Macaca mulatta: one gene and its partners. The protein of the gene in region 4 interacts with the protein of the main gene of each other region in a pairwise test. Links are inferred from orthologs where the notes say so. Each region holds a gene or a part of one and is shown on either strand. Other genes may lie near its edges.

The links.
Region 1: the proteins of EHHADH (region 4) and SSNA1 interact in binary tests that used the Homo sapiens proteins (3 or more experiments, as listed by UniProt). The two-hybrid records come from large-scale screens. The link is inferred for Macaca mulatta from reciprocal best matches to the Homo sapiens genes EHHADH and SSNA1.
Region 2: the proteins of EHHADH (region 4) and DES interact in binary tests that used the Homo sapiens proteins (3 or more experiments, as listed by UniProt). The two-hybrid records come from large-scale screens. The link is inferred for Macaca mulatta from reciprocal best matches to the Homo sapiens genes EHHADH and DES.
Region 3: the proteins of EHHADH (region 4) and KCTD9 interact in binary tests that used the Homo sapiens proteins (3 or more experiments, as listed by UniProt). The two-hybrid records come from large-scale screens. The link is inferred for Macaca mulatta from reciprocal best matches to the Homo sapiens genes EHHADH and KCTD9.
Region 5: the proteins of EHHADH (region 4) and MID1 interact in binary tests that used the Homo sapiens proteins (3 or more experiments, as listed by UniProt). The two-hybrid records come from large-scale screens. The link is inferred for Macaca mulatta from reciprocal best matches to the Homo sapiens genes EHHADH and MID1.
Region 6: the proteins of EHHADH (region 4) and ZBTB9 interact in binary tests that used the Homo sapiens proteins (3 or more experiments, as listed by UniProt). The two-hybrid records come from large-scale screens. The link is inferred for Macaca mulatta from reciprocal best matches to the Homo sapiens genes EHHADH and ZBTB9.
Region 7: the proteins of EHHADH (region 4) and CAT interact in a two-hybrid assay, tested with the Homo sapiens proteins (2 studies listed by BioGRID, with this or other methods). The link is inferred for Macaca mulatta from reciprocal best matches to the Homo sapiens genes EHHADH and CAT.

What each region holds. Positions count from the first base shown.
Region 1 is NC_133420.1:5,265,395-5,268,425, reverse strand, and holds SSNA1 (microtubule nucleation factor SSNA1), read left to right. Parts: upstream 1-1,173; 5' UTR 1,174-1,243; coding exon 1,244-1,295; intron 1,296-1,584; coding exon 1,585-1,784; intron 1,785-2,309; coding exon 2,310-2,417; 3' UTR 2,418-2,531; downstream 2,532-3,031. Other genes in the region: ANAPC2 (anaphase-promoting complex subunit 2), read right to left, coding at 1-621, 934-1,050. UniProt on the Homo sapiens protein: Microtubule-binding protein which stabilizes dynamic microtubules by slowing growth and shrinkage at both plus and minus ends and serves as a sensor of microtubule damage, protecting microtubules from the microtubule-severing enzyme SPAST.
Region 2 is NC_133417.1:124,658,791-124,662,777, reverse strand, and holds the start of DES (desmin), read right to left. Parts: upstream 2,801-3,987; 5' UTR 2,678-2,800; coding exon 2,100-2,677; intron 1,046-2,099; coding exon 985-1,045; intron 890-984; coding exon 794-889; intron 646-793; coding exon 484-645; intron 313-483; coding exon 187-312; intron 1-186. UniProt on the Homo sapiens protein: Muscle-specific type III intermediate filament essential for proper muscular structure and function.
Region 3 is NC_133413.1:27,191,491-27,194,990, forward strand, and holds part of KCTD9 (BTB/POZ domain-containing protein KCTD9), read right to left. Parts: intron 1,706-3,500; coding exon 1,584-1,705; intron 1-1,583. UniProt on the Homo sapiens protein: Substrate-specific adapter of a BCR (BTB-CUL3-RBX1) E3 ubiquitin-protein ligase complex, which mediates the ubiquitination of target proteins, leading to their degradation by the proteasome.
Region 4 is NC_133407.1:97,345,624-97,348,659, forward strand, and holds the end of EHHADH (peroxisomal bifunctional enzyme), read right to left. Parts: coding exon 2,078-3,036; 3' UTR 501-2,077; downstream 1-500. UniProt on the Homo sapiens protein: Peroxisomal trifunctional enzyme possessing 2-enoyl-CoA hydratase, 3-hydroxyacyl-CoA dehydrogenase, and delta 3, delta 2-enoyl-CoA isomerase activities. Catalyzes two of the four reactions of the long chain fatty acids peroxisomal beta-oxidation pathway.
Region 5 is NC_133426.1:10,016,958-10,020,457, reverse strand, and holds part of MID1 (E3 ubiquitin-protein ligase Midline-1), read left to right. Parts: intron 1-986; coding exon 987-1,148; intron 1,149-3,500. UniProt on the Homo sapiens protein: Has E3 ubiquitin ligase activity towards IGBP1, promoting its monoubiquitination, which results in deprotection of the catalytic subunit of protein phosphatase PP2A, and its subsequent degradation by polyubiquitination.
Region 6 is NC_133409.1:148,823,512-148,827,637, reverse strand, and holds the start of ZBTB9 (zinc finger and BTB domain-containing protein 9), read left to right. Parts: upstream 1-1,326; 5' UTR 1,327-1,526; exon of another isoform or gene 1,527-1,594; intron 1,595-1,776; 5' UTR 1,777-1,847; coding exon 1,848-3,272; 3' UTR 3,273-4,126. UniProt on the Homo sapiens protein: May be involved in transcriptional regulation.
Region 7 is NC_133419.1:30,827,241-30,830,740, reverse strand, and holds part of CAT (catalase), read left to right. Parts: intron 1-702; coding exon 703-807; intron 808-1,395; coding exon 1,396-1,521; intron 1,522-3,500. UniProt on the Homo sapiens protein: Catalyzes the degradation of hydrogen peroxide (H(2)O(2)) generated by peroxisomal oxidases to water and oxygen, thereby protecting cells from the toxic effects of hydrogen peroxide.

The DNA of each region.
Region 1 (3,031 bases), on a different chromosome or scaffold from region 4:
GACCTGGCTGAGCTGATGGAACTGCTCCAGAGCCTGGCGACACCAGCACTGTTGCTTGTCACTGCTGCACCCTGCGCACAGCGGGCTCTGCAGGAGCCGGTAGTACCGGCGACGGGCATACCGGCTGTCCAGCTCCCCCTCCAGTTCCGGGTCTGTGCCCCCTTCCCCCTTCCTCTTACTCTGCATATAGACTCTCAAGAAGCACCCATACAGACGCTGGATCATCTCTTGGAAGGTTCTGGGGGTACTAAAGAACAAGACTCCGCGCAACATAGTGTGGACTTTTTCTCGCAGCCCCTGAGCACCAGTGCCCATCAGCAAGCCCAGGCGAGTCCATTTCTCCAGCAGCTCTAGGCTACGCAGGTAGGGATCCAGGCGGCTCTCCAGCAGGCCAAAAGCGTCAAGGAGCAGCAGAAGGCACTGGGGCTCATCCGTAGAGTTCTCGCATTGGGAGATGGCATTCCAGAACTCAGGGGAGATGTTGGCCTGCAGATCGTTCTGCAGCACCTCTACGAACCACTCCTCCAGGACCGAGTGCAGGCCGTGGCCCCTCAGAACCTCCACCGCCGCCCGGAGCTCCTCTTCCTTTGGCGGGACTGCACCGCTGGTCCGGGAAGACACCTGGAGCGCAGAAAACCGTGAAGCGAGGGGAACACAACATAGAGGTGGGGAGAGGCGGGGAAGGGAAGAAGCTGAGGGGTAGGCTGCAAAAACTCCGCTGCCCCCTGTCCGTGGTGTCCGGACGTTGGGCCGAAACTAGGGAAGGGCTGCCAGCGGAGCTGAACGAAATGAAGTGGAATGGCGGTGGAAAGCGGCAGGACAGGCCAGAGGCGGATGACGGACAGAGCTGTATGAACCCGAAGGTGGCCGCCCCAAAGTGCATAGGGTCCCGGAAACTCCGCGCGGGGCCGCCGCTCTCTTCCCAGGCCTCACCAGCCCCAGCGCAGCTGGCGGCACCAGGCCGGTGCTCACGGTATTCCAGGCCACTAACAACTCCTGTCCGGGCCGGGAGTCGCTGTCCCCCTCCGCCACCACAACTGCCGCCGCCATCTGCAGCCACCGGCTCCGAGATCCCCTCGGCACGGCGCAAAGCGATGACGCAAGTCTGCACGCGCAGCCATGACGCGCACAAGGCGCTCAGCGATGACGCGTAGTTCGGCGCGCCGTCAGGGAGTCGTGCGCAGGCGCGGACAGCGCTGGTTCCGCGTCGGTTGGGGTGGCGGGGCCCCGGGCGGCGTAGACCATGACCCAGCAGGGCGCGGCGCTGCAGAACTACAACAACGAGCTGGTCAAGTGTGAGCGGCGCAGCCGGGACGGGGAGGTCGGGAGGGCCGCAGGGCCGGGTTCCCGGCTCGCAGCGGGGTGCCCCTGGACCCGCCTAGTTGCGGGCATCGCGCAGCTGAGCAGAGCCCTCCGTGCCGGGGGCTGGGTGTCCGTGGCCCCGAGCCCTCGTTGGCTCGCAGGCCCCGCGCCGGGTGCTCGGGGGTGGTGCCTGACTCTGGCTTCCTCGGGTGGAAGGAGGCCCGCCCTCCGCCGCCGCGCTCCTGCCCTGGGCCCACAGCCCCGCCCCTCCCGGCCCCCCAGGCATAGAGGAGCTGTGCCAGAAGCGGGAAGAGCTGTGCCGGCAGATCCAGGAGGAGGAGGACGAGAAGCAGCGGCTGCAGAATGAGGTGAGGCAGCTGACGGAGAAGCTGGCCCGCGTCAACGAGAACCTGGCACGCAAGATTGCCTCTCGCAACGAGTTCGACCGGACCATCGCGGAGACGGAGGCCGCCTACCTCAAGGTGGAGCTCGGGAGGCCAGGCGGAGCATCAGGGGATAGCCGCGGCAGGGGTGTAGCCGCGGCAGGGCGTCAGGACCGTCTGGGGCTCCCAGCTGTGGGCAGTCTGTGCCTCGCTGGCATGTCGGGCAGGAGCAGCGTGGCCAGGCCCATTGAGGAACCCAGGCTGCTGCGGGAGTGACCGTGGGGCTGTCTGGGGGACCTGGGGCATCCTGGGTCCTGGTCTTCATCCGGTTCTCGCTAGCCATGTGGTTCTTTTTGCTTAGAGTGTGAAGAGCCACGTCTTGGGCCAGTGCTAACCCAGCCTGGCTTTGAGGGTGGGGAGGAAGTGTTCCGGGTCAGATTCAGGAGGGAAGAGGGCCCTGTTACCCCGTCTGCCAGTCCCCTTGGGCTTCCGCCTTCCCCCGCACAGGATCCCTTGGCTACAGCACCCACAGCCAGGTCCCAGAACCTGAGTGTGAGGACAGCTGGGGCTTAGGAACTTCCCAGCAGGTGAACAGTAACAACTTTCTCACTTCTCTGGCCCCAGATTCTGGAGAGCTCCCAGACTTTGCTCAGCGTCCTCAAGAGGGAAGCTGGGAACCTGACCAAGGCTACAGCCTCAGACCAGAAAAGTAGCGGTGGCAGGGACAGCTGACCAGACCACGGGCAGGGCCTGCCTCTGTGCGCCCCTCAGCTCAGCCCCGACAAGTCTGTCCTCAGAGCGTCTTTGTTCTTCACAGCAGCAGCTGCCTTCCCTCACTGTCCCCGGTGCCGAGAGGGGCGGCTGCCAGCCTCTACTGGCATCATTGACAAGCCAGGGCACAGCCCACCCAGGGGCTTCGTGCTCACACGGGCTGTGGGGATGGTGGGTTCCAGGTCAGCTCTGCAAAGGGCCTGTCTCTGTGGCACCCACACTCCTGCCCTGCTGGGGAGGCCCTGGTTGTCTGAGCACCATGGGGGCCCCCTCAGCTTGTCCCTCCTCAGCCAGCAGAGGCCCAGGGCAGGGGACAGGGGTTCTCCTTCACCCCAGAACCCAAACCTCAGGGCTCACCCCTGTGGCCTGTGATTATCAATAAAGATTATCTTTGTAAAGGTCCGTGCCAGCCTGCTGCTTGCCCGTGTCAACAGTGTGGGGCTGCCAGACACCCGCAGAGCCAGAGCCTGAGGCTCCCCCTTGGGAAAGGAGGGAGGAGGCGTCTGGAGTGGTCTCCCTATGACTGCCCAACTAGCCTCAGGGACACCGCTGAGGGTGCCCACCCTGCCCAGGCC
Region 2 (3,987 bases), on a different chromosome or scaffold from region 4:
CAGATGCCCCAGGAACCCCTGATTCTTTAGCATCCAACTGGAATCCACTTGTCTGGTTTTATCCCTATTGTAGATTTAAGTAGATGAAGGCCCAGAGAGGGTCTATGATGGGCCCAAGGTCACAAAGTGAGGGTGTGAACTGCAGACAGGAAGGGGCAGGGCCTGGCCAGGTGGGTAGGGACTCACAGTGCCCTTGAGGGCATCAATCTCGCAGGTGTAGGACTGGATCTGGTGTCGGTATTCCATCATCTCCTGCTTGGCCTGGCGCAGGGCATCGTTGTTCTTGTTGGCTGCCTGGGTCAGGTCTGACACCTAAGGGCGGAGAAAGGAGCCCAAAAATGAGGAGGATGCAGGGCACAGGTAGGGATGAGCAAGGGAGCATGGAGCCTCTGGGCTCTCCTCCCATGGATGATGCCACAGGCAGCACATCCAAGCTGGGGCTCAGGGTGACAGAGATGCCAGTCCCTGGGTGAGGCCACCCACCTTCGACTTGTACCACTCCTCAGCTTCAGAAATGTTCTTAGCCGCGATAGTCTCATACTGAGCCCGGATGTCCCTGAGGGCGGCAGTGAGGTCTGGCTTAGACATGTCCATCTCCACCTGGACCTGCTGTTCCTGAAGCTGAGCCTGCAACTCACGGATCTCCTGTAGGGCATGGCTGGGCTTCAGTCCCCTCTCAGGGCCCACACAGCACCCTCACACCCCTATTCCCAGCCAGAGCCTCACCCCAGCCCCACTTTCCGGCTGCTTTCCCCATGGCCCAGTGACCCCAGGAAGAGGGGCCAAGGCATACCTCTTCGTGCACTTTCTTAAGGAACGCGATCTCCTCGTTGAGAGATTCAATTCTGCGCTCCAGGTCAATGCGAGCTAGAGTAGCTGCATCCACGTCCTGGGAGAGGCCAAGCAAGAAGGACATAGTCACCACCACCCAGGTGGGGTAGAGCAAAGCCAGAGGCCATGCGAGGGGAAAAGAAGGGCACTCACCGCTCGGAAGGCAGCCAAATTGTTCTCTGCTTCTTCTTTCAACTGAATCTCCTCCTGCAGCCTGGGTGGGACAGACAGACAGACAGACAGTTGTGGGCGATAAAGCTGGCAGTGGAAACGACTGGCCGGGTGCTGACCAGGGAGTAGGTATGGGACAGAGCGGGAGGGCCTGGCTGCTGGGTAGACACAGGAGAGAAAGGGAGTGGAGAGGCCCCACCCATCCAGGGAGGGCACAGGAAGTGGCCCAATCTCTGCCCAGGAGCCACACCCTTGAAGTCTATGTCCCCACCAGATTGTGTGACCTCCCTGGGGTTAGAAACTGTGTCTATTTTATCCGCCTCTGTGTTGCTGGTTCCCAGCTCCAGCCTGGCCAATATAACTGCTCAATTAATATTTATGACTTTGGTGGCAGGAGGGTGACTCTGCTCACTTGGCCTGTCAGAAGTGGGACCAACAGATACGCTATACTTGCTGCCCTTTTCGTTTCAGGAGCCTGGTGAGGCCTACAGTCAGGTCCTCCCAAGCTCTCTGAGAGCTGTGGCCCCCACCTACTCCCTTTTTCTCCAGCCTGTCTATCCACCTTGTAAAAACACACAGTCTCAGCAAGTCCCCAGGGTCAAGCTCCCCACTCCACCCTGCCTCCCCAGGGCCTCATCACAGCTGAGCTGAGAGCTGTTGCTTGGACTCTGGGCCCTTGCCCTGCTTTCCCTGTCTCCTATCAGCCTCCCTTCTCCCTCTGGCTACACTGCCCTCTGGGCTTCCTGCAGCCCTTCCTCTGCCCATCAACTACCTGACCCCATAAACATCGCCCCAGCATCTTAAAATGCTTTTTAAGGGGGCTGCCCAAATGGCACCGGGTCCCCTAAATTCTCCCATATCCACCCCCTGATCTATGTCCCCAAGAAAACTCCTATGCAAGATGGGATCGCAGGGGGAGAGACCTGGAGGTCACGGCCCCTTGAAACACACGGGTGGAGGACCCTTTCCCCGCGTGGGGCAGGAGAGGGTCCCGGACCCCGGGAGAAGGCATGTGCTGACAGCGGGACCCCAGCCCCCAGGCCTAGCCCCCTGTGCCCCGCCCGCGGAAAGAGGAGTCTGGGGCGCCGGGCCCTCACTTGGCCTTGAGCCGCTGCAGGTCGTCGAGCAGGTTGTCGCGCTCGACGTCGACGCGGGCGCGCTGGTTAGTGAGCACCTCCACCTGGCGCCGCAGCTCGCGCAGCTCCTCCTCGTAGAGCTCGGCCACTCGCGTTGGCTCGCGGCCCTTGAGCCGGTTCACCTCGGCTGCGAGCGCCGCGTTCTGCTGCTCCAGGAAGCGCACCTTCTCGATGTAGTTGGCGAAGCGGTCGTTGAGTTCCTGCAGCTCCACCTTCTCGTTGGTGCGCGTGGTCAGAAACTCCTGGTTCACCGCGTCGGCCAGAGAGAAGTCCAGCAGCTCGCCCGCGCCATAGGAGGAGGGCGCGCGAGTGGTCCCCAGCCGGCTGGCCCGCAGCGACCCCAGGCCCCCGGCCCCGCCCGACGTGCGCGACACCTGGTACACGCGGGACGTCACCGAGCTGGAGGAGCCCTTAGAGCCGAAGCCCGCCCGCGGGAACACGGGCGAGCTCAGCGGGGAGCCGAGCGGGAAGCTCGGAGCCCCGCCGAAGGTGCGGCGGTAGGAGGACACGCGCTGGCTGGACGAGTAGGCCTGGCTCATGGTGGTGGCGCGGGCGAGGCTGGCGGGCACACGGAGGAGGCGGCGGGCAGGCGGCCGGCCGGAGAGTGGATGCGGCGAGGGAAGACAGGGCCCCCAGCCGTCTGCACTATTTGTATCCCTCCTGACATCAGCCCCCGCTGCCCCTCCCCTGACAGCTGCAGGATCCCGCTGTCCTGCCAGGAAAGGGCGGCCCCTGGCCGTGGGGGCGGGGAGGCCAGCTACCCCGCAAGAGGCCTGCGCCCCTGAGTCAGCCAGTGGGGGTCCTGTGACAGGCAGGCCTGCCAATCCTTCGCCAGGGCAGCAAGCATGCCTGCAGTCCCCAGGCGGGCCTCTTTCAGCCCTGGTTATCTCCTCGTCCTGGCCGGGGAGGGGGTCAGGGGAGACAGCAGAAGAGAGGCTTCCCTTTAGTTTGAGGGCCTCCTTTTTGGTCAAGGAGAGACTTTGGGTCATTTCTTAAAGGGTCAAGGCCTGCTTCCAGAAAGGCCCCAAACCACCTTGTTCCTAAACATTGTCTTGAAGTTGAAGAGGTTTGGGAGGTCTCAGGCAAAGACCAGCCAGGCTGGAGGGTGGGGTCTCTAGGCAGGCAGGGAGGGCCGGGAGATGCCTGGCAGGCAGAGGGATCCTGGCCAAAGCCTGCCATGTATATCTGCAGGCGAGCTGGCCCTGAGCCTCAGTTTCCCTCTGGACTGGTACAGGCCCTCTTCCTCCCCCCTACTGTGGATGGCGAGGCCTCAAGTTTATAAACAGTAGGGTGATTTCCAGAAAGGGTCTGATGAGCTTTCAGTTTCCAATTGCTATGTCCACTCCCACCCCCGCACAGACTTTGTCTGGCTCCTGCCCCCAGGGTCCCCCACCCCCTCCCTGATTCATCCCCCTACTCACACCCCCCACGCCCACACACACCAGGGGTTTGTGTTTTGTCAGGAGCTGCATGTCAACCCAACCATCTTCCTGGCAGCAACAGCTGCCAACCCCAAATACCAGAGTGAGTATTTATAGAGGAGAACGCATCGGCTGGGAAACAAGGCACAGGAGAGAAGCTGTGGGGGGCAGGGGGTACCTGAGGAGGCATGGATGGGCGTCAGATAATCAAGGAAGACTAGGGTGACAGCCCCAATCACTTCCCACCCCCTATAATGCTCCAGGGCCCCCCCCCCGCCCACAAAAATGGAGCCCCACAGAGGGCCTGCCCAACCTCCAAAGCCCCCTCCTTAGTACAGGGCACTTGCTGACCCCTAAGGACATCCACCATTCTCCATGGGCACTGGCTGTGTCTCTACACCTCCACCTGGCACTCCAGGCCCCTCTTG
Region 3 (3,500 bases), on a different chromosome or scaffold from region 4:
AAATGGGGGGGAAAATCCCACTACACAAATTATGTGAGTTCAGCTTTCTTATCAACTGAGAATGAATAATTATGCTCAAAGGATAGATTAAAGCCACAGCTAACTCCTCTTTTTTTCTTTACCTTTTTTTTTACCCCTAAATCATTAGCTGTTGTGTGCTTTGGAGATGAAATAAACTGTCATATTAAATCTAGGAAAAATATAGCTGGAAGTAACTCTGCTGTCAGTGTTTACCCACTACAGATCCACCATACACCCAAATGTAAATGGTTGCACATAACCCACAGTTCTAGACAATCAGTGTACATCCTCTTCCTCAACCCATTACACCAGATAACGTATTGTGAACCTAAAACGAATAAGTCGGTATTTTATAGCTCAGAAGGCTTCAGTTATAACCTTCCATTGTAGAAGTTTTTATTTCCTATAGGACATCACAGGACACATTAAATTTTTCTAAGAAGCAGAGTTTGTGCTTGTTAAGGAGAAAGTTAGGTTGATGAGGACCATCATCCAACAATGTGACTCAGTTTTCCTTAGAAACTGAAAGAAGCTGGGAGATACATATTGAAAAACTCGAAATTATCCTAATTTATTTGGATTTAAAATGTAGTATATAGTATTTCCTACTTGTTCACCATGCCAATTTACTGTTTTCAGATTAGTATAAAAATCTGGTTTTTTTTTTCATTAACAAAACCCAATTAGCTGTATGACCTGAGTGAGTCCTCAGCTTCACAGGTAATTCGTTTCCTCGTCTGTAAAATGAAGGGTCTAGAACTGATTCACTGCAAAAGCAGTATACTATATTGAAAGGTCATTTTGATCTGGATTTATACAGAGACTCTGTGTATTATTGTAACTTAAAGCATCATTATCTTCACATCATTGATAAAAAAACTCATGCTCTGCCAATCAAATGGTATAACTCAGGCAAAGCAATTATAACATAACTGGCATAGTCAACACTTAATTTGTGTTCCCTTTACCATCTTCTTTGTTAAGCATCTTCCTGCTCCAAAATACTCTGACCTCGTGAAGATGAAGTAAGGTGAACTACACACTTGTTTTAAAGAGATGAATCTGCCTGGGATATTTAAAGAACAAACAAATAAGTCTATAATTATGGTGGATCACTGGTGATATCTCTACTTAGAATTATATCATATTTATAAAGTTTTCACAAAATCTGGCCTTTGTAATATTTATAAAATGCAAAGCATTTCTTAGGAAATGATTAACAAGCAGGTGCATATAAAAGTGAAGAGATGAATTAGATTTCTAACGTTAAAAACTGCATGTCTTATTAGATCCTGCTGTAGTACCACAAAGAAGAAATTCCTCATAGCCATATATGAACTATGCAGAAAGACTATCAGTATACTGAAATGTATACTAAGGGTTTTCTAGCTGATCAATACAGCTTAAGCCCAAATGATTTAAATTCCAAAGAGCAAATTCTAGGTAATCACTTGCCAAAATCCTGTATTCTTAACAGTGATTAAACTACTGCTTAAGGGAAACAGCATAGCACCAAGAAGTTGAGGCACACTGTTGACAGCTTATAAAAAGGTGAAGGTTACCTGATCAAAGCAATATCATCAATCAGTCCACCTTTCCCATTATATACACTGGTGGCTTTTATGCCGAGTTTACTGCTGGCCACAGAAAGCAAATCAGATAAAGTTCCATATACAGCAACCACCTGTAAATACACCAGATTAATATGAACAACTTATTTAATAAATGTTATCCCAACAAGTTACAAACCATCACAGTAAAACAGGGCTAAAAAGAGTATCATATAAAAGGAGACTTCAACAGGTTCTTAACAGTGCCCCCTTTTCTTCTATGACTCATTTATTCACTTGGTGCCTAAAATTGTCGAATCCTAAACTAGAACATAAGAAATCATCTCTGACCAAAACAATCTACAATCCTAAGGTGCGTTAAATAGCACTCCAGTTGTGAAGTAAGATAGACCCACACTTCAATCTAGAGTCTGACATTTTCTAGCTGTCAACTTGAGTCAACCTATTGATGCTTCTGTTGCTTTAACTAAAAATGAAGAAAATAGTAGCACCTACTTCAGAAGGTTATTACGAATTCATGCATAAGAGCTTGGCAAAGAGACTGAGACCTAGTAAGTCCCTATTATGTTGTCCTTTTATTATTTATTTATTTGAATGGTGCACCCTTAGAATAGGAGTCCACTGGTGCTGTTTATTATATCATTATCTACATAAACTACCATAGAAAATATAACTTCCTACCTCATTTATTTAATTCTTCATTAACTAAGACAGATTTTAGCATCTAACATTAAGAATACAGCAAACAGCTGGGTGACAAGGAATTGATCTGTCCTGCTGTGAATCCAGCATTCTGATATATGTGTAAGATACATGCAACTGTTTAAGCAAGGGGGCTGACAATCTCTACATGTAAGTGAATTTTGTGCCCTGGTCCTAACTGTAACTATGGGTTCCCAGCGGCTGAGTTGTACAGTTGCACCATTATTAGTTATGACCTCTGAAAGTTAGGAATAAAAAGTAGGAGAGGGTCGGGCGCAGTGGTTCAAGCCTGTAATCCCAGCACTTTGTAAGGCTGAGACTGGCAGAGCACTTAAGGACTGGAGTTTGACCAGCCAGACCAAAATGGAGAAACCCTATCTTTACTAAAATACAAAAATCAGTCAGGTGTGGTGGCACATGCCTGTAGCTACTCCAGAGGCTGACGCATGAGAATTGCTTGAACCCGGGAGACAGAGGCTGCAGTGAGCCAAGGTTGCACCACTGCACTCCAGCCTGTGTGACTGAGCAAGCCTCTGTCTCCCCCACAAAAAAAAGAAAAAGAAGTACGTGAAGAGCTAAACATGAAGCACAATCATCTAGCTCATGGATGTCCCAAGATCATATGTCAAGATGCCATATGAAGTGAGCACTAAGGCTGGTCCTCTGTCCACCAGTGACTGGAATACAGTGGAGAGTTTCTAGTTAAATAAATAAAGTAAATGGAGGCCATAGAAAAAGCTGCTTGATAACAAAGAGTGTGCAGTTTTTCAAAAGCAGAGTACTCAGATTCCAACTTTTTTCTCTTGGATCAGAAGGATGAAAGAGAGAAGAGTGCTGGAGCATTTTGGAAAGTGTTGAAGGCGAGAAAAATGTAAGCGGAACCAAGTTCATTATTAAAAATAATGCATAACCCAACTGTCTATAAGCAGGTAATTGTATAAATATGGTATAGACATACAACTGAATATTATTCAGCAATAAGAAACAATGAGGCCAGGTACAGTGGCTGATGCCTGTAATCCCAGCACTTTGAGAGGCTGAGGCAGGTGGATCGCTTCGAGACCCACCTGGCCAACATGGTGAAACATGGTCTTTACAAAAAAAAAATACAAAAAGTAGCAAAGATGGTGGCACATCCCTGTAGTCTCAGCTGCTTGGGAGGCCAAGGTGGGAGGATGACCTGAGCCTGCCAAGTCAAGGCTGCAG
Region 4 (3,036 bases):
TGCCTCCTGAGTTCAAGCAATTATCCTGCCTCAGCCTCCCAAGTAGCTGGGACTACAGGCACGTGCCACCACACCCGGCTAATTTTGTGTATTTTTAGTAGAGATGGGGTTTCACCGTATTAGCCAGGATGGTCTCGATCTCCTGACCTCATGATCTGCCCGCCTCGGACTCCCAAAATGTTGGGATTACAGATGTGAGCCACTGTGTCCGGCCGGGTCATGATACTTTTTAGAATATGATATGGTACCTCTTCCAAGAAATGTACTCAGATACATGTACACAAACTTTATCATAACATTTCAGGGGTTATTGACTGATAAAATCTATTCATAGACGCTCTGATTTCAAAACCTCAATCTAGAGGCTAGTGTAGGGTGAAAATAAGTTGCAAGAACTCAAAATTAATTCCAGGATTGAAGAAAAAGTTAGTGGGTTTTTTTTTTAACATTAATTTGAAAACAAGTCACTTTGGAGACAAAATTACTACTTTCAGGAATCATTTTCATTGATGTCTTTAATTTCACAAACCAAATTATATAAAATTAAGTAGTATATATTTCAAACGTAATAATTGTGCTCTGTACAATTCAAGGCACACTTGGATTTTTTGTTGGTTTTTTGTTTGCTCTTTAACAACGGAAAACTTATACTCTATTCATTCAAGATTTTTCCATCAGAACTTTCATTTTGTTTGGGTTCACAGGTGAAAATATTGTGAAAGTTCATTTCCACCACAATGAAGGATAACATCTTCAGCCCCATTTATTTACTAACAACTTTATTGAGATACAATTCACATACCATATAATTCACCCATTTAAAATATATAACTCAATAGTTTTTAATATATTGTTATGTGACCATTACCACAATAAGTTTAGACCATTTTCATGAACCATAGAGAAATCCTGTACCTATTAGATGAATCCTGTACTCCCCATCCATCATCCCTAATTCTAGCTTTAGGCAACCACTAATGTACAGGAAGTATTTTTTATAGAGACAGGGTTTTGCTATGTTGCCCAGGCTGGTCTCAAATTTCTGACCTCAAGCAATCCTCCTGCCTCAGCCTCCCAAAGTGCTGGGATTACAGGTGTGAGCCACTGTGCCTGGTCCTTTATTTCTTTTTATGACTGAATAATAGTCCATTGTATGGATATACCAGATTTATCTATTCATTAGTTAATAGACATTTGGGTTGTATCCAACTTTTGGCCATTATGAATAATTCTGCTATAAATATTTGTGTACTAGTTTTTGTATTGACCAGCCCCTTAATTTTTGACTACACAACGCAAAAAGTAAAAAGAGAAGAACTCTTATAACAAAATTATACAAAATATGTTTTGCAACAATTTTAGATTTTTCAAGATTCAACCATTTCCATATGTAACATCACAGAGGCCTGTCATGACAGGGAAACTGGCGTCATTACTCTATCATAGAATTGGGAAATTCTAGAAGGTTAGATGTTCTCTAAGACCCTTCTTACACTAAGTTAACGACTTACTCCTTTCTATTATTTCTTCATAAACAGAAGAGGAAAGACCAGAAGAGGAAAGGCTTGCCATACTAATCTGAGTTCCCTGTGCTGGTTTGAAGTACTCAGTTCCCTTACCAATTTCCAACCATGTTTTTCCTACGACTTCAATGTTTGTTGAGTGTATGTATGATTCATAAGATTTCTGATCAATACTATGTGTGTGACATTGAAAGGAGTCAAAATCAATGTATGACTTAGCTGCATTTATCATTTATTAATTGATGACACATGTATCCAATAATCAAAACATTTGAGAATCTCAACTTATGTCTGAGCCTCTTTCATCAGCGATTATGATATTACATTCACACAAGTTCATGCATTGAATTTATCTGATAAGGACAGATTCAGAGACATAGGAAGCACATTCCTAAAGATTTGACCATTAGAGTCGTCACACAGAAGACTCTACTGATTATTTCTTTTGCTTTGTATTTCAGAACAATCTTACTTTGGATTTTTGATTTAATTTCACTGAAATTCAGTGAGCATTACCTGATGCTAGCATGTGAGGCATAATCTGGAAGGCTGAATCACAAGTTACTGCTAGGGGAGCCTGCCAAGCTTTGCCATTCTTTCAGGGGAGGGTTTCCCTGAGAAGCCAGTTTTTTTAGATAGTCACTGGGCTCCAGTTGGGGAATATCAGGGTTCTGCCTGTAATATTTCTGCAACTTCTCTAGAACTGTGGGCAACCCAACTGTGGAAGCATAGAACATGGGTCCGCCCTTGTGCCTTGGCCATCCATATCCATGTAAATAGACAACATCAATGTGCTCTGGGCTAGTAGCTATCCCTTCTCCCAAGATATGGAATGCTTCATTGATAAGTGAATATAAGCAGCGCTCAAGGATCTCATCCTGGCTAATGGTACGTGGTTCAATGTGATAGGTTTCTCTATACTGTGATAGGAATTTGGAAAGCCAGGGATCGGGTTTGTGAATCCTACCCAATGGCTTGTCATATTGATACCAACCCTTACCTGTCTTCTGGCCAAATCGTCCTAATTCACAGAGCATATCAGGAATTGGGCAGTATCTCCTATTGCCCCTTTTTCGGGCAGGAGTTCCTGGAGGCAATGTAGGTCCAGTAAGACCTTGCCCCTTTCTAGATTTCCAGCCCACATCCAACCCAGCAAGATCGGACACTCTAAAAGGTCCCATTTTAAAACCAAACTCTTCCAGCACCTGATCTACCTCCTCTGGTTTGCTGCCTTCTTCTAACAAGAAATATGTCTGATTGTAATAAGGATTCAACATTCGATTCCCCACAAATCCAAAACAGTTGCCTACAACGACTCCAATCTTTTTAATCTTTTTTGATAAGTTCATAACAGTGGCAATGGTAGTGGGGGAAGAGTATCGGCTGGGAATAACCTCTAACAACTTCATGACATGAGCTGGCGAAAAGAAGTGGGTGCCAATGACCAAGTGAGGACGATCAGTGGAAGAAGCAATCTCATCAACATCCAGGGCTGAAGTATTAGTGCACAAAA
Region 5 (3,500 bases), on a different chromosome or scaffold from region 4:
AACAGAGTCAGGAAACTTCTTGACAGCCTGGTCACCAGGGGTTTGGGAAAAGGTTCTATTGGAGTGGAGACTGATGGATGGAAAAAAGAGAGAGGGAAATTGTACCTGATACCAAAGAGATGTTTTCAGCCGTCAACCAGCTGCAAAACAAAATGGGCTTCCTTTTCCTACATATTCTTCCAAGCATTATAAATCCTCGGTCTGCTCCCCAACCCACATCCTACAGGATGCAGCCAGAGCAACAGCCCCACTCCACTCTGGAACCAGTCATCCTAGGGATGCAGCTGGTCAAAAATCCCTGTGGACGCTTTCTCAAGATCTGCACCAGACCCTGAGCTGCCCAGGTGTTGCTGCTCCAGAATTCTCTTAGGAATATGTCTCCTACATCAGTTAGTTACAGCCACACTAATACAAGATCACAAACAATCCTGATGATCATTTCTTAGCTTCCCTGTTGGAGGTTGGTTGGTGTTGGCTGATCTCTGCTTGGTTCACTCCTGCACTGGCTGGGTGTTGCCTGTGTGGTAAAGCTGTTCCCTGTCTCATCCTGTTGGAATGAACAGAGTATCCTAGGAATATTTTCTCCAGAGCAGTGGCAGACACAAAGGGTCAACAGAAATCCTCAAGGCTTTGTCATGCCTACTCTTGCAACTAGCACATTGTCATTTCAGCCTCATCCTATTGACTAAAGTAAGTCACTTGACCAAATTCAAAGCTGTGTGACAGGGAAATATATTGCACCTCTTTAGAAGGAGCACCTGCAAAGTCATTTGGGCCTGGATATACAGGGCAGGGAGAATTTTGGAGACAAAAATGCAATCTGCCACATCTATATTAGTGAAGTCAATTTTTCATATGTGGCTATCAGAACAAAGCACTTCACTTACCAACTCTATTCGAATAAATTGAAATTATTCAACTTAAAATTATGCAAGCATTGCTCCCCTTGTGCCAAAGAACTGCACCATGTCTGATTGGCTTTGCAGGTCTGTGTAACTCGGCTGATAGCTGGATGATAGTACCCAACATCAAGCAGAACCACTACACGGTACACGGTCTGCAGAGCGGCACCAAGTACATCTTCATGGTCAAGGCCATCAACCAGGCGGGCAGCCGCAGCAGTGAGCCTGGGAAGTTGAAGACAAACAGTAAGTGCTGTGAACTCAACAGAGCTGTCATGTCTTATCTGCTCTTCTTTCAGCTGACTCTGTCCCCCTTTCTTTTCCTTTCCTCTCTCTTGGGTATCATTGACAGCCCCCCAAAACAAGTAAAAAGCCAGTGTGGAATAATGGAATTTGCATCAGATACCTCTAGGTTCCAAAACTGATTTCTATTCCTTCACAGCCGTGAGACCATTACTCTCTCTGAACTTGAGTCTTCTCATTTTTTTTTTATTATACTTTAAGTTCTAGGGTACATGTGCACAACGTGCAGGTTTGTTACATATGTATACATGTGCCATGTTAGTGTGCTGCACCCATTAACTGGTAATTTACATTAGGTATATCGCCTAACGCTATCCCTCCCCCCTACCCCCTACCCACAATAGGACCCGGTGTGTGATGATCCCCTTCCTGTGTCCAAGTGATCTCATTGTTCAGTTCCCACCTATGAGTGAGAACATGCGGTATTTGGTTTTCTGTTCTTGTGATAGTTTGCTGAGAATGATGGTTTCCAGCTTCATCCATGTCCCTATAAAGGACACGAACTCATCCTTTTTTATGGCTGCATCATATTCCATGGTGTATATGTGCCACATTTTCTTAATCCAGTCTGTCACTGATGGGCATTTGGGTTGATTCCAAGTCTTTGCTATTGTGAATAGTGCCGCAATAAACATACGTGTGAATGTGTCTTTATAGCAGCATGACTTATAATGCTTTGGGTATATCCCCAGTAATGGGATGGCTGGGTCAAATGGTATTTCTAGTTCTAGATCCTTGAGGAATCGCCACACTGTTTTCCACAATGGTTGAACTAGTTTACAGTCTCACCAACAGTGTAAAACTGTTCCTATTTCTCCACATCCTCTCCAGCACCTGTTGTTTCCTGATTTTTTAATGATTGCCATTCTAACTGGTGTGAGATGGTATCTCATTGTGGTTTTGATTTACATTTCTCTGATGGCCAGTGATGATGAGCATTTTTTCATGTGTCTGTTGGCTGTATGAATGTCTTCTTTTGAGAAGTGTCTGTTCATATCCTTTGCCTACTTTTTGATGGGGTTGTTTGGTTTTTTTCTTGTAAATTTGATTGAGTTCTTTATAGGTTCTGGATATTAGCCCTTTGTCAGATGAGTAGATTGCAAAAATGTTCTCCCATTCTGTAGGTTGCCTGTTCACTCTGATGGTAGTTTCTTTTGCTGTGCAGAAGCTCTTTAGTTACATCCCATTTGTCATGGGATCTTGATCTGGTGGATAAGATTTTGATGTACTGCTGGATTCAGTTTACCAGTATTTTATTGAGGATTTTTGCATCAATGTTCATCAGGGATATTGGTCTAAAATTCTCCTTTTTTGTTGTATCTCTGTCAGGCTTTGGTATCAGGATGATGTTGGCCTTGTAAAATGAGTTAGGGAGGATTCCCTCTTTTTCTATTGATTGGAATAGTTTCAGAAGGAATAGTACCAACTCCTCCTTGTACCTCTGGTAGAATTCGGCTGTGAATCCGTCTGGTCCTGGACTTTTTTTGGTTGGTAGGCTATTAATTATTGCCTCAATTTCAGAGCCTGCTATTGGTCTATTCAGGGATTCAACTTCTTCCTGGTTTAGTCTTGGGAGAGTGTAAGTGTCCAGGAAATTATCCATTTCTTCTAGGTTTTCTAGTTTATTTGCATAGAGGTGTTTATAATATTCTCTGATGGTAGTTTGTATTTGTGTGGGGTTGGTGGTGATATCCCCTTTATCATTTTTTATTGCATCTGTTTGATTATTCTCTCTTTTCTTCTTTATTAGTCTGGCTAGTGGTCTATCAATTTTGTTGATCTTTTCAAAAAACCAGCTCCTGGATTCATTGATTTTTCGGAGGTTTTTTGTGTCTCTGTCTCCTTCAGTTCTGCTCTGATCTTAGTTATTTCTTGCCTTCTGCTAGCTTTTGAATGTGTTTGCTCTTGCTTCTCTAGTTCTTTTAATTGTGATGTTAAGGTGTCAATTTTAGACCTTTCCTGCTTTCTCTTGTGGGCATTTAGTGCTATAAATTTCCCTCTACACACTGCTTTAAATGTGTCCCAGAGATTCTGGTATGTTGTATCTTTGTTCTCATTGGTTTCAAAGAACATCTTTATTTCTGCCTTCATTTCGTTATGTACCCAGTAATCATTCAGGAGCAGGTTGTTCAGTTTCCATGTAGTTGAGTGGTTTTGATTGAGTTTCTTAGTCCTGAGTTCTAGTTTGATTGCACTGTGGTCTGAGAGACAGTTTGTTATAATTTCTGTTCTTTTACATTTGCTGAGGAGTGCTTTACTTCCAACTATGTGGTCAATGTTGGAATAAGTGCGATG
Region 6 (4,126 bases), on a different chromosome or scaffold from region 4:
AAATTTATACTTATATAAAAGTTGTAAATATGTGAAATTTTATCCCTGTGCCCTTTCCCCACCTCAGGCCCTAGCCCTGGACCCTCCCCAACCTTCCTTCTCTCTTCTTTGGCTGTTGTAATTATCTGGGGTTTGTACTGTACATATCCGGGGTGTGTGTGTGTGGGCTGGGGGCAACCCTTCTGTACAGAGCTTCCTGGCCCCCTCCCCCCCCGCCCCTCTGCTTCCCTCCCCACCCACTACCTTAAGGGTAGGGAGATGCTCTTCCTACCTGTTTTATTTTGTTTTCTCGTTCTCCCTCCCCACCCCACTCCCAGCCTTATCTATCCCCCCCTCGCTGTCCCCTTTTCTCCACTCCCAGCCCCATTTCCTTTTTTTCTGGAGTGTGTGGTGAAACAGAAAAAAACATGTTTAATAAACGGAGATTGTTCTTTTATCGCTGTGCCGACTTTCTTAGGCAGGGCTCTCCAGACAGACCTGTACGGTGGTAAGATCTGCTTTCTGAAAGGAAGCTGACAGCCTGAGAGGAAAACCGTACATCCCCACCTGATGCCACACTCTCCTCATAAAATGTCACTCTCCCCTCCCAATGAGAGTTTTTATATTTTAGAGCAGGAGTTTTGCACTGGCCAAACTTCTCCAGTCTCTCCCTCCCCTCACCACTGTGTCACTTAGTCTGAGGCCAGGAACAGCGGCGTTATCTGATAAAAGAATTCATGTATATATCCACATTTATCTCTTTTAAAAATCACCTAGAAGTAAGGTTTCTTTAATTGCTGGTTAAAATGCTCCTGTGCAGAACAGAGGAAAGAACCTGCCTAGTTCCTTAGCAAATCTGAGATCCAGTCCCAGGTCCACTACTATTAACTGAGTGACGCTTCCAGCCCGTTTCCCCCGCCTGGAAACTGAGGACGGCAACCCCCATCCTCGCAGGGCCGGTGGGAGGACACAAGGTGATGTGGGCAAGTGCCAGGCCCACATGGTAAGTGCCCAACTAATCTTGCCCCTCTCAGGACCTACCGGGGGCGGGTGCTACACTTAATCACCGGGAAACGCAGCTTTCCGGGGCGGCTGACGGCCCGCCCCCTCCGACCGGTCTGTTCTCTCCTGGGACCTGGCTCTCGGTCCTCTGTAGCGGCGAGGACTTCGGCAGCTACCCCAGACGCCCGATACGCTGGCACCCTGAGCCAGCGCCCTCCTACTAGCACCGCCCTCCTCGTCTGCGGTAGCCAGTCAACACGAGGCTTGTAGGCTGCCCTTCCTCGATTGGCTACGCCTCTAGCTCCGCCCGCCGCACTTTGCGACGGCGTCCGGCGGGGAGGCGGCGGCTTCCGGCCTGGGACGGAGCTGTAGCGGCACTGTAGCTGCGAGGGCAGCGCCGCGTGTGTAACGGCGGGGGCGTGTCGGCGGGAAGGACAGCCGGGCCGGGACTCCCGGTGTCCGGGTGACCGCGGTTTCCCGGGAGCAGACCTCTGTGGGCACTGTGAGGCGGAACGGAGCGGCGGGGCAGGAGCTGTTCTGGGCAGGTGAAGACAGGCTCGTGGCTGAAGGACCTCCTTCGCATCTTCCACGGGGGCTGGAAGTTACAACCCCGGTTGGTGTTTGGTGGTGGTGGTGGTTTGTTTGTTTTTCTTTCTTGGTGTGCTGGACTGATTTGCAGAAACCGCCACTGACTTAAAAGTTTCCAGTTATTGCTCGTGGGGGGAGGGAGTTGTTTGAAGAGATGTGGCTCCCTTTATCCAGGGCTTCTGTGACCTCCATCTTTTTCCTTTGCAGCCTTCATCCCGCGTAGAGTCTACCCCCAGGCCCCTCTCGTCTTCCCAATTCTTCTCACCTTCGAGGAGGCCATGGAAACCCCAACGCCTTTGCCGCCCGTACCCGCCTCCCCGACCTGCAACCCAGCCCCACGGACAATCCAGATCGAGTTTCCGCAGCATAGCTCATCGCTACTGGAATCTCTGAACCGCCACAGGCTAGAGGGAAAGTTCTGTGATGTGTCCCTCCTGGTGCAGGGCCGGGAACTTAGGGCTCATAAAGCAGTGTTGGCTGCTGCCTCTCCTTACTTCCATGACAAGCTGCTTCTGGGGGATGCACCTCGTCTCACTCTGCCGAGTGTCATTGAAGCCGATGCCTTCGAAGGGCTGCTCCAGCTCATTTATTCAGGGCGTCTCCGCCTACCACTGGATGCTCTTCCTGCTCATCTCCTTGTGGCCAGTGGCCTTCAAATGTGGCAAGTAGTAGATCAGTGCTCAGAGATTCTTAGAGAATTAGAAACTTCAGGTGGTGGAATTTCAGCCCGTGGAGCAAACTCCTACCATGCCCTTCTTTCCACTACATCCTCTACAGGAGGCTGGTGCATTCGCTCTTCGCCTTTCCAGACTCCAGTACAGTCCTCTGCTTCCACTGAAAGCCCTGCTTCCACTGAGAGCCCTGTGGGAGGGGAGGGAAGTGAACTGGGAGAAGTGCTGCAAATTCAGGTAGAAGAAGAAGAGGAGGAGGAGGAAGAAGATGATGATGAGGACCAGGGGTCAGCCACACTCTCTCAGACTCCTCAGCCCCAGAGAGTATCAGGGGTTTTTCCCCGTCCTCATGGACCCCACCCACTGCCCGTGACTGCTACTCCCCGAAAGCTTCCAGAGGGTGAGAGTGCACCAGTTGAGCTTCCTGCCCCTCCTACTGCGCTGCCCCCTAAAATCTTCTACATTAAGCAGGAACCCTTCGAGCCTAAGGAGGAGATATCAGGAAGTGGAACTCAGCCTGGAGGAGCAAAGGAGGAAACCAAAGTGTTTTCTGGAGGGGACACTGAAGGGAATGGGGAGCTAGGGTTCTTGTTGCCTTCAGGGGCAGGGCCAACATCTGGGGGAGGGGGTCCATCCTGGAAACCAGTGGATCTTCATGGGAATGAAATCCTGTCAGGGGGAGGAGGACCTGGGGGAGCAGGCCAGGCTGTTCATGGGCCTGTGAAGCTAGGGGGAACACCCCCTGCAGATGGAAAACGCTTTGGTTGCCTGTGTGGGAAGCGGTTTGCAGTGAAGCCAAAGCGTGACCGGCACATCATGCTGACCTTCAGCCTTCGGCCTTTTGGCTGTGGCGTCTGCAACAAGCGCTTCAAGCTGAAGCACCATCTGACAGAGCACATGAAGACCCATGCTGGAGCCCTGCATGCCTGTCCCCACTGTGGCCGTCGTTTCCGAGTCCATGCCTGTTTTCTCCGCCACCGGGACCTGTGCAAGGGCCAGGGCTGGGCCACTGCCCACTGGACTTACAAGTGACTGCTGAGGCTATATACTAGCTTCTAGAATGAAATAACCACTGCTGCTGATGGGTACTTTTCCCTCACTACCATGGCACACCAGTCATGGATCTTGTAATCATGCCAAGAGAATAGATACATTGATACATTATGGACCTCTTGTTTTAAGATATGGGCCTCTCAGCCTGGCAGATGTGGAAACTCAAATTTCTCATCCCACTCCAGGTTTTGGCTAGCCAACCCTGCAGGAAAGCAGTTTATAGGCCATTCATACTTAAGTTGATCACTTGCCCATGGTGGACATTTTTGTAGTGGTGATGTCCATTAAGGAAACCAGATTTTCAATTATTTAGTGAGAGAAGAATTAGAGCAAAAGACAGTGGTAAATGTTTTATTCCGTCTCCATGAGGAATTAAAGGAGTTGGTCTCCACCTACGGATACATTTGATTTAGAGCTTGAGTAATTCAGAGGCTAAGCTCTAAACTTTTTTCTCTCTCATTGCTGGAATGATTTAAGCAGAATTCCTTTTGTGTACTTTTAAAATTGTATCTTTCCAGGAGCCCCTCAGATTGTACCTTGCTTTCTCACCAGTAGACACCTTTCCAACACTTTTTTAATGTTGTAGTTGAGCACTTTAACAAGTTGAGCATTCCATGTTTCATTCTTAGAACCTTCTTTAATAGAGGGTATTCCCTCAACAGCCTGTGCCTCTGGTCTACCTTTGACCACCACTGGTAACTCATATATTGGTCACAATGACTGGAATGTGACTAGTGATCTCAGGAGATGGCACTGTCCTAAAGTGCTCTCAGGGTGGCACCACTGCTCTCTGAACAAGTTGCCTTGGTCAGAGGGACTCAGGTTTGGGACAG
Region 7 (3,500 bases), on a different chromosome or scaffold from region 4:
TAATGGGAAGTGAGTTTAGTTTTCCTTGCAGAACATTGAAGATTAGTAAAAAGAGGGACTTTACTTTGGAAACAAGCAGAGGGTGTCTCTACATGCTCTGAGTCAGCAGGAGGGTGTGTGTGTGTGTGTGTGTGTCCGTGTGTGTGTGTGTGTGTATGCATGCGGGAGGGTGGGTATATTTTTTCCAGGAAGAAATACTATAAATCCCAGCACTTTGAGAGGCCAAGGCAGGCAGATCACTTGAGTCCATGAGTTCAAGACCAGCCTGGGCAACATGGCAAAACCATGTCTCTACAAAAAAATACAAAAATTAGCCAGGTGTGGTGGCTCATGCCTATAGTCCCAGCCACTTGGGAGGCTGAGTTGGGAGGTCTGCTTGAGCCTAGGAGGTCAGTGCTGCAGTGAGCTGTGATCGTGCCACTGCAGTCCAGTCTGTGTGAAAGAGTGAGACCCTGTCTCAAAAAAAAAAAAAAAAAAAAAAAAAAAAGACTAGTTTTGAGTATATTTGAAATACTTTAGGGTATCTTAGATGCCAGTTTTCTATGTTGAGTATATTTCATTTTATGGTTTGGCAGTTTAAAATTCCAGGATTGTATTTAGAGTTATAATCCATAAACCTAGTAATAGGCATGTATAATGCAAGACACCATAATTCCTGTAAACTTAGTTTTTGAATTTTTTTTCTCTCTTTTTTCTATTTAGTTTCCATCTTTTATCCACAGCCAAAAGAGAAATCCTCAGACGCATCTGAAGGATCCGGATATGGTCTGGGACTTCTGGAGCCTACGTCCTGAGTCTCTGCATCAGGTAGGAACCCTTTTTTTCCATTGTCTTCTATCACCTGGGATGCAGTGTTTAATTATGCCTCCTCATAAAGTGTCTCTCCAGTTTTGGCTGTTTTATTGGAATAAGCTTCCTCAGATTTCTTGATCGTGAAGAGTTTTGTAATAACTGGCTTTAATATCCCCCATTCATCAACCTTAAATGGTGATGATAGATAGATAGCAACATTGTCAGTTGATATTTAGCAATAGTAAGGATGAAAGTCTTTAGTACAAGATAAAGCTCTGTATTAGGGAAGTGAGGGGAAAGTAGCACCAAATTTGCTATGAAAATAAATTTTGAATAACAAATTAGGCCAGTTTTCAGGTTGTTTCAGCTTTTTCCTTCATAGAATTTTGAGTCATAGTATTAGTGATTTGCATATCATTTTGGTTTAAAATTTTTCTGTTTGTTATTTTCTACAGGTGAAATAATGGTAACCCTTCCCATGGGAAATAGGCTCGTATGTTTTATGTCATTAAGGGACTTTCTGGAACCTAAGGAGTATCTTAAAAATCTAGGATGTTTTGATTTAAATGAAAACATTTTAGGCTTTATATTTCTGTTCCTTAGGTTTCTTTCTTGTTCAGTGATCGGGGGATTCCAGATGGCCATCGCCACATGAATGGATATGGATCACATACTTTCAAGTTGGTTAACGCAGAAGGAAAGGCGGTTTATTGCAAATTCCATTATAAGGTACGTGTTATACCTTTGGGGCAGAATGTACAAGGCTCCTACCACACACCTCCTTATTTTTCCTGAAGAATTGAGCAAAGATTAAGGCTTCTCCCACTTTTCCCCTCACCTCCCTCCCCAAACATGGGAAGTATTGATCTCACTGATCAGTACTGTGAGTATTTTGTTGGCTTCCACCTGAGGACATAACTTCACACTGTCCTATTAGAACTGTGTGTGGTTCCTCTTTAGTCTCTCTTTTACATGTGGCCAGAGGTGAGGCACATGGCTGCGATCAACAGTTTAAGCTTCCTTTTTCTGGATCCTGTGTCCCTTGTCATAAATATTTAGAAAATGTGCTTCTTTTGTGCTGCTTCTGGTTTAATGTTTCTGGGCTGGCAGCTTCATGTTGAGTACAGCGTTCTCCCTGAAGTGGGAATATCTAAGCTTTTGGTTTGGGCTCAAAGAAGATAGTATAGACCTCTAGGCTAGGCAGAAGGAAATAATTTCCACCTAGTTTAGCCTAGTTTTTTTTTTTTTTTTTTTAAAGATAGGCTCTCGCTCTGTTACTGAGGCTGGAGTGCAGTGGTATGATCGTATCTCACAGTAACTCCTGGGTTGCAGTGAACTCCTGGGCTCAAGGAATCCCCCTGTCTCAGAGTAGCTGAGGCTATAGGCACACACCACCATGCCTGGCTGATTTTAAAATTTTTTTTTTTTTTTTTTTTTTTTGAGACGGAGTCTCGCTCTGTCGCCCGGGCTGGAGTGCAGTGGCCGGATCTCAGCTCACTGCAAGCTCCGCCTCCCGGGTTTACGCCATTCTTCTGCCTCAGCCTCCCAAGTAACTGGGACTACAGGCGCCCGCCATCTCGCCCGGCTAGTTTTTTGTATTTTTTAGTAGAGACGGGGTTTCACCGTGTTCGCCAGGATGGTCTCGATCTCCTGACCTCGTGATCCACCCGTCTCGGCCTCCCAAAGTGCTGGGATTACAGGCTTGAGCCACTGCGCCCGGCCTTAAAATTTCTTTTATAGAGATGGGGTCTTGCTGTGTTGCCCAGGCTGGTCTCAAACTCCTGGCCTCAAGTGCATCCCCAACTTTGGCCTTCCATAGTGTTGGCTTTCCATAGTGTGAGCCACTGTGCCTGGCCCTAGCCTGGCTTTTCTAGAGTTCTTGTTGGAGTTTGGAGTTCAGCTCTAGAAAATAATAAAGTGCCTAGCCCTGAGTCATTATCCTGAGCATAGATACCTTTTAGGGCCCAGAAGAGGGCTAACACCGCTTGGAGCATATCCAAGTCTCACTATCACTTCCAACATCCAATGGCATCTTTCCAGTATCATTTCTTCTAACTTTTTAAGTCATCCATCTATTCACTTAGCATTTATTGAGGTTGTATTATGAACAACGCATATAAGTAAAATCAATTACAAATGTCAGAAAACAAAATTGTACTGTTTTTAAAAATTTGCGTTCATATAGCCAGATCAAATGCGTTACATCTGGGGAGGGTTTTGAGAATGTTTTAATCAACTGAAATATTTTAAAGGGTTCTCTTTTGGTTTAAGCATGGCATTCGTTACAATGAGCAATATTACCAGTGAACCCTGGTGTGTTAGTGATATTCCCAGAGAACTCCCGAGGGCTAGGTAAAAACAAGCCTGAGAACCTCTGTTTCCAAATACTGCTGCTAAGATAAGCAGAAAGAAGTGGGCTCATGACCAGTACTGGACAGTCTCTCTCTTAATGACATCCAAAAGCCCTGTTTTCTTCTATCCTGTTTTCTTCTGTCCTGTTTCCTTCTTTATCTGAACAACTTAATGTAGGCATATCAAACAGGAGAACTATCACCTCTTTTTATCATCATAACTTGAATCTATAATATTTGACAAGGAAACATTTTATGGAACATAAAATTGGCTTGTAATTGCCAAAAGGATCAATGTAGTGTTACTTAGAGTAAGACTAAATGGTTGTCTCTGGGACAGCCAGTCTAGTTGGTAGC